2 linked regions of the Xenopus tropicalis genome follow. The protein of the gene in region 2 interacts with the protein of the main gene of each other region in a pairwise test. Links are inferred from orthologs where the notes say so. Each region holds a gene or a part of one and is shown on either strand. Other genes may lie near its edges. The genes, in order: mycbp and mycbpap.

What was found.
Region 1: the proteins of mycbpap (region 2) and mycbp interact in binary tests that used the Homo sapiens proteins (3 or more experiments, as listed by UniProt). The link is inferred for Xenopus tropicalis from reciprocal best matches to the Homo sapiens genes MYCBPAP and MYCBP.

Annotation. Positions count from the first base shown.
Region 1 is NC_030678.2:80,435,126-80,439,441, forward strand, and holds the end of mycbp (C-Myc-binding protein), read right to left. Parts: intron 2,733-4,316; coding exon 2,603-2,732; intron 906-2,602; coding exon 852-905; 3' UTR 688-851; downstream 1-687. UniProt on the Homo sapiens protein: May control the transcriptional activity of MYC. Stimulates the activation of E box-dependent transcription by MYC.
Region 2 is NC_030686.2:43,588,912-43,592,735, reverse strand, and holds part of mycbpap (MYCBP-associated protein), read right to left. Parts: intron 3,727-3,824; coding exon 3,573-3,726; intron 2,744-3,572; coding exon 2,637-2,743; intron 1,564-2,636; coding exon 1,395-1,563; intron 1,120-1,394; coding exon 1,004-1,119; intron 914-1,003; coding exon 763-913; intron 658-762; coding exon 548-657; intron 165-547; coding exon 49-164; intron 1-48. UniProt on the Homo sapiens protein: May play a role in spermatogenesis. May be involved in synaptic processes.

The sequences.
Region 1 (4,316 bases), on a different chromosome or scaffold from region 2:
AATGCCATTCTCCAGAGCATACTTTAGAATGTGATCCCTTAACAAGCCTTTAAATAACTTGTTCCCCATGGATAATTGCCATCAGCTTTCCTCCGGGTAGGTACCATATCAGATGAAAGTGAGTCTGAGAAAACAGAAATAGAGGCCTAGCCAAAACTGAACTAACATCTTTAAGTACCAAATGGTGTATTCCATCTGGTCCTGGTGCATTGTTCAAATTAATTTTGAGTAATCCTTTATGCACCATATCCTCTTGTAAACCATTAACTACATTGAGCTGGGCTATCTGTGTCCCTATTGGGTGGATATTGAAACTTCTCAATTGTCGACAAAAAAGGAAAGAACTGAACAAGCACATTTTCCTTTTCAGTATCCATTATAACCGCATTATTTATCATTATGTAATGGAGCCACACCCTCAATCTGCATTTTTTTTTTTTTTTACTAATAGTATACTTTTTAGGGTTAGTGTTAGACTCTGCCACAATGTGCTCCTCGTTTTATATCTTTGCTTTCCTGATTTTTACAACTTTTTTTTATGTTGATTACAATTATATTGTACTATTATATATGTGTTTCAATGAGGATATCTGTCTGCTTGGATTTGAACAAAAGCCCCACAGAAGTTGCTCTGCTGACACAGGGTACACATTCACTAAAGTCTCACCCAAAAAAACTACAATAAAATTTTGCTTTAAATTAGTAGTTTATTTAGAACTGTGAGAACATAGAAAATAATTTTAGAAATATGACACTAAATGTGCCTTTTCCTGTGCTCAAAATATAACAAAATTCAAGCTTATATATTTGGATTTCCAGTGCAGTATTGATGTAGGTAGAATGTAAAATATCTATGTCTCGGAACGTTTTTCATCTAGATGTTGTGCTGGATCATGTTGTGCAAGCTGCAAGAGCAAAAGGAATAAAATTAGCTTAAAATGAGGGCACACACCAGAATAAGATTTAAATATTTCCAAAAGTATATACTGTACATAAGAATCAGTGTGCCATAATTAACACTAACAAAAAGTCAGGTACACATGGACCATCTACAAGTTAAACTTCAGGGCTGACAAATGTATACATATAAAAAACTATTAATACATAACCAGTACAAGACAAACAGGTAATGCAGACTATGTACTGAAATATATAGATTGTTATTATATATTGTATATTAAAACTCTATAACAGTACAGTCCTGTATGACACACCCCCTTACAACTGTGTATATTTTGTGGCACTACTGATAAAGTTCCATCACCTGAAAAAGCAAGGATTTGTATTTAAAAATGTGTTTACACCATCACATGAGGTTATTCCATGGCCATCCATGGTTAAGTGGTACACAATTTTATTACCTTTTTCAGATCACATGCCTTGCTTCATGCATAACTTTTTGATGTTATTATAATGTTGTGTAAATATGTAAACAACCAGGGAACAGCAGGGATAGCTAAAGGGTCTTACATTCCATAAGAGAAGGAACTGAGTAATAATAATGCTTTCACCTGGCCTATAGACAAGCAATAGATTTTGATGTGGGCCAATAACAGAACACCTGAGGAAAGAGCATGGTGGCACACTTGTTCATAAGTTAAAAAATATTTAAATATCTATCTTATAGGCCAATGCAAACTTGCAAGGCTGTTCCAAATTAGTCATCCAATTTGTCAAACTTTAGGAAATATTATAACTATGTAAGTCTATGGCATATTCACATAACTGAAAATTTTTTTTCACAACATTACTGCTGGAAAAGAAAGGTTAACAAGAGAGAATCTATTTTTTTTTTCACTGACAGCCAAATTTTGTTCACTAGTAATTAAAAAAAGTAAAAAGAAATTTTCAAGTTTTCCCATCCTTTAAAAAAGCTGCCGCCCAGTCCTAGCTTGGAGAATATTATAAATCTCCAACAATAGCATTAATCTTCAGTGGCTCTCAACCTTCCTAATGCCGCAAACCTTTAATACAGTTCTTCATGTTTTGGTGACCCCCAACCATAAAATTATTCTTAAAACCATCTGAAATATGTGTTTTCCGATGGTCTTAGGGCTCTGGTACACGGGGAGATTAGTCGCCCACGGCAAAACTCCCTGTTCGCGGGCGACTAATCTCCCCGTGTACCAGAGCCCTTAGGCGACCCCTGTGAAAGGGTTGTTCGACCCCCAACGGGGTCCCAAACCACAGGTTGAAAACGGCTGTGTTAGCTAGTTAAGATACTTTTAAATTTAATGAAAGGAGCACTCAAACATTCATGGAAATGTAGATAAAAATGCCAGGATTATTTGTAGCCTCCCTCTCCCCAAAACATACAATGTAGAGCCTTTATCAAGGGCATATTGGGTTTTTTTTGCCAAACTGCTGTGGTAATTCTCCTATACTGGGTTGTGTTTATTGGATTGCAAACTTTGTTCACATTGAGTGATGCTGACATTTACTTTGCCATGTTTAAGCAAAATACATTAAACAAAAGTTATATAAACCTGCATCACCTTTTTTGTGATATACGTGCAGCCTTATCTGCTTTATAAGAACATATGTGTAGATTTAAATAAAGAAGGGCGCTTCTCTATTATAAAAAGAAACAAACACAACATACCTTTGCTTTCAGTTCTTTGTTTTCTTCTAGTACTGCCTCATATTTCTGTTTCAGTTCTGCTACCTCTAAGCGAAGAGCTTCCACATCTGCTGTTTCAGGTCCTGCAGCACCCATGTGTTGTTTTAAGAAGCTGCATAATAGGTTAAGGACTTCCAAAATACACTGGCAAACATATTCTCTACTATGCAAGTTTATAGAACTCCAATTGCTAGTATGAGCAGTTTGGGTTTTTGGGGGGTTTTTTGTTTTGTTTTTTTTTTTTTTTACAAGATCCCTATGAATAATTTAAAAATTTACAAGGGATTTGCAATGTAGCACATAGCAATGCAAAAGTTACTGATCTCATGTTTCCAAATGGGCATGTACCAAGAAGAACAGAGATCAATGGTTAAAAATCTGTCTTGCTCAATATTTATTGCATTAAGCATTGGCCTTTATACCTTTGGACACAAACACATTCGGAAATATTAGATAAGAAAATACACGTGTTGCCTTGCAATGCACCACAATGTATGGTAAGAGCAGTAAAAACAAACTGATGTATATACAGAACCTTAGCTGGTAGTATTGTAGCAGCTTATGCAGTACTGAAATAACTAAAGTTTCAGGCCTTAGTGGCAGGCAGGGGAAAGTTGCCTATTTACTAACAAAGTGGGAAACAAGTCACTGTGTTGAATGCTTAGAAATGTCGTAACACAGGTTCACAAATAAACCATCAATCTATGCTTAAAAAAAACCACTACCCATTATTAGACTAAATCTAATGGCACATGTTGCATTTCCTTCTGCTCTATTGGGCAGCAAGGGATTCTTCAAGAAACCTTATAACTAAAGGGGCCTTTCGCCCTCAACCACACTCCCTGGGTTTATGGTGAGAAGAAATACCGTTGGGCTTATAAAATATAATTTTTCATACACAATATGTGCCTACTAACAACACACAATCTTTTGATCACTCAAAGAAAATGTCCTTAAAGGACAAGGAAAGGCAAAGTCACTTGGGGGTGCCAAAATGTTAGGCACCCCCAAGTGACTTTAATCGCTTACCTCGTACTCCGGGCTGGTGCCCCTTTACGGAGAGAACAGCACCAGCCCGGGGTAGCCAACTTTTCTGTTAAAGTTCGGCTTTTCACTCTATTGTGTATGCACGCGCTGCTACCCCGGGCTGGTGCGGTTTTCTCCGTACAGGGGCACCAGCCCAGGGTACGGGGTAAGCAATTAAAGTCACTTGGGGTGCCTAACATTTTGGCACCCCCAAGTGACTTTGCCTTTGTTTCTCCTTTAAAGGAGAAAGAAAGGTAAAAACTAAGTAAGCTTTATCAGAAAGTTCCAAGTAAATACAGCCATAAGCACTCAGAGTTCTCAAAAGATTTGTTGTGTCTGTTTTCCTCTGCCAGATACACACAGCTCTCTCCTCTCTCCCCTCTCCTGCTCCCCCCTCCCTCAAGAATGCTAAGAACTCAGTTCCTCCCCCCTTAGGAATGTGGATCTTAGACGATGAGGAAGCTTTCTGCTGATTGGCTAACTGAGCATGTACACTGGTCTGGGTCTCAGTGCAGTAGTGAGGCATTATGGGAACTTTCTTTACACGGCTCAGCGTTTTTTCTTCCTGTTTGGCTTCTGATCATCTGAACAGGAGAAATATGGGGAGACTTGAGGGCACTATTGAAAGAACTGAAGGTATGCCAGCAGCTGGTAAAAATGAATATAGCTA
Region 2 (3,824 bases):
CTGATTATCAGACACGTCAACTATAAGGAACAGCACTGGAGCACCCACATGTTCTCTTTCTCTTCTGAGACAGCTTCCTCTGGTTCTTCACTCAAAGGGAACTGTTCTGCAGATACTGAGGTGAAGGGATGCCCATGTCCAATCACTTCCAATCCATCGATGTCCTACAAAAGCAAGCGAAGTATGTCTGACTAACAGTTATTACTGGCAGTATGTTAGAGGAGAAAAGTAATTCATGATGTTGGTGGGAAGTGCCAGGGGTACCTTACAAGGTGGGCTAATAGTCACTGTGTGAATGTGTTGGGGTGAGGTTAATCAGTGGCAATGTGTAAGTGAAGCTTTACTAGGGTAACACTTTCATTGCGCTGGGGGTGGAGGGAATTGTATTCCTAGTGACGTCAGAGGTATCACGATAGCTGTTGTGCTGTTTTTCCTTTTGTGTAGGGATAGGAAACAGATGTCTAGGGTGAACTATATCTTTGTTACTCAGTAAGAGCATTTGAGCATAGCTAGCTTTGTACCAAGTGAATTACAGAATGTCTCTCACTGGCTTGGGAAAGTTCAGCTCCTCCATGACAGCTCTCAACTCGTGTCGCCGCTGCTCAAGGTAAAGACTCTTATCCCAACTGCGGTCATATGCTGAGCGAAGTGTAGCACCTGGAAACCATCCCAGAATAAGGTTAAGAACTCCTCTGATACTCATGTTGTTTCTCACTGAGCACCATTGCTATGTGAGGGAAAGTGTTTACAGATGTGACATACCTGTTTCTTCCTTGACGTTATGCGGTTTGCCAATACGAGTGATTGGTACTGGGTAACCACGATCACTTCTGGGAAGGGTCAATGTTAAGCCACTAAGCTCATCCCCAATGCGCTGAGGCAACTTCCAGAACTCGCTCCCAAGCTGCCGGCCCTATTAGGGTTGGAGAAATTGATATTGATAAAAGCACCTTATTATTACTACTTTTCCCCATACCAGCCTCGAGATTCCCTGCAGTCTTACCTTTCCATGCTCCGCTGCTGAGATGCTGAGGTCAATCAGTTGTTTCTCCTCTTGCACACTTCGGAAACCCTCCCCAAGGTTCATAACAAGGCTATCAGCAGGCTTACCCAGCCGACCTGAGTTACACAAAGAAATGGGATCTGAGAGCTGCAAAGGACCAGGAAACTATGGACAAAAGAACTTCAAAAAAGGTGAATGTGGAAATAACAGAGGTGCTGAAAGATGGTAGAAGAAAAGACTGTTGATTATATATTCTGCGTTACTTGTCAGCAGTGCCTTGGCCTATATAAATCAACTTGTACATAGCAAATATGTAACTGCAGGGCTTACACGAGGGCAGTCATTGATTAGGAAAAGGAAACATACAGCATCACTCACACATCCAACTCACGGGACAGTGTCTCCACCTGCTGCTTTCTCAGGCTCATGTGATGTTGCCAGTTGATCAGAGAGCTGTCTTGTTTTATAGGGAGCACTGAATCATCTTTGTTCTGTTGAAGCCCCATTTTTTCATATTTTCTGAAACCCATTTGGATAGGCTCAGGAATAAGTTCGGCTACCTGGGTAAAGGCCAAACTCTGCATTAACTTCCAGACACTAGAACCACATAAAATATGTGGCTAAATACTGACTGTGTTCATGTATTACTAGCACCGAATCCAACTTATATCTGCAAAAATATGCCTATTTGCCTCTCAGTTTCCTCTCAAGGTAACCTTGACGACATCAGCAAATCGCGGCGCTGCATATGCCATCCCACCAGCGATTTACATTCTAGCCGGTGGGATGGCATTGCAGGGAGATTAGTCGCACGCGGCAAAGGAGATTTATCGCGGCATGACTAATCTCCTCGTGTACCCCTGCTCTTAAAAATGTACCACCCCTTTGGTGTCTCAAAGTGGCCATAAATGGTAAGATTCCGTTGGTGGCGAGGTAGCCAAACAAGCAAATCTTTACCAATATGCCCACCATGCGTGGCCGATATCGTGCTTATGTAATTGCATTGCAATGAAAGGGATATGAGCAGGGCCGGATTTCCAAATTAGCTGCCCCGAGGCCGCCCCCGGTCGCACACCCCCCTCCCCAGAGTGCGCATGTGTGCGCGATACAGGGGAGAGGGGTTTCCGTGCGCATGTGCGAACAGCGGGGGGGGGGGGGTTGTGCGCGCGCATGCGCAGTGGGCCAAACTTGCATACGGAGCAGTGGGGAGAAGTCCCCCCATTGCTCCGTATGGGTACAAAACTTTTTAGACCTTTTAGACCTTTTTAGGTTTCTGTCGCCCTAGGCCCGGGCCTTTGTGGCCTCTCCACAAATCCGGGCCTGGATATGAGTAATCGGTGCAAGAACTGCATCAATTAGATGATGTGGGCCTTGATCCGACAGAAATATCAAGCCTGCCGTAATGACAACTGGCTGATTTTTGGGCAGATATCGGTCGGGAAGGTCTGTCAGTATGGCCTCCCTGTATTTACGGATTTTATGATGTTAATGAATATGTGGTCATGTACAAAAGTATAAATCTGTTGTACCACAGCATCACTATTACAAGTAGGCGGTATTACCTCCACCTGAACAAGCATTAGGAATTAACAGTCAGTCAGACACAGGAAGGCCTTTGTGGCTTGAGGGATACCTGCATATTTCCCCGTGCTGAAGCAACTCTTTTCAAGTCTTGCAGAGTTCCCAGGATGCTGTGTGGTTGAATTTGGTTCTGTGATCCAGACAGACTGAATTCATTCCCTGTAACAAGATAAAAAAAATACTGTTCATTGCAGAGTGAGGCTGCGGTGTTGTAGCCAAGTACAGCGACCCAAATAAAGAGCACCCCCAGTTCTCAGTAGATGAGAGGAATAGATAGAGGGGAACTTACAAGAGATAAATCAGTGCTGGGAAATCATTATAGTACTAACTGAATTTAAGAAGGGGTTTTTCTGCAATAGTATTAGGTTAGCCATTTCTAGCTACTACTGGGATACAAGTTAGTAGTGTATTAAAGGGGGTTGTTCACCTTTGAGTTTACTTTTAGTATGATGTAGATAGAGAGTAATATTCTGAGACAATTTACAGTTGGTCTTCTTTTTTTATTAATTATAGTTTTTTTAGTTATTTAACTGTAGCTCTCCAGTTTGGAGTTTCAGCAGATGTTTAGTTGCTGGGGTCCAAGTTACCTTAGCAACCAGGGAGTGGATTGGAAGAGAGACAATAACAATAATAAAACTGTGGTCTCACAGAGCAATAGTTTTTATGCACCGGGGTCAATATCCCCCATTTAAAATCTGCAAAGAGTTGGAAGAACAAGGCAAATAATTCAAAAACTATAACACATAAATAATGAAGACCAGTCGAAAAGTTGCTTAGAATTTGCCATTCTATAATATATTTAAGGGTGAGCCACCCCTTTAATTACAACACAATGTCTGTTTTCCCATGCCAGTTTGCTTACTGTCCTGTAATGCATCCAAAATCGCAATCTCTGCACCTGTTTCCAATAATAAAAGACTACACATTTATGGATTTGAGTTGCTGTGCAATTTGCTGGCATCGACAGAGCAGAGACAAGCTGCCATACCTAAATATACCAGATCTCTAGTCTCCAACTCAGGAGGCGCAGGGCGGGCCACAAGTAGACGTCTCTTCCTTCCCTCTGCGTTATGCTTCCGAACCAAAACATGGTTAGTTCCAGCAATATTTTGCTCTTCTTTAGAAACACGAGGTGGGTGAATCTACAAAACAGGAGAGAAAATATACTTGTTTTAGAAATATACTTCTGAAAAGCAGAGGCATCTATCCTGCCACATCCTAAGTAGTGAGCAAACATAAA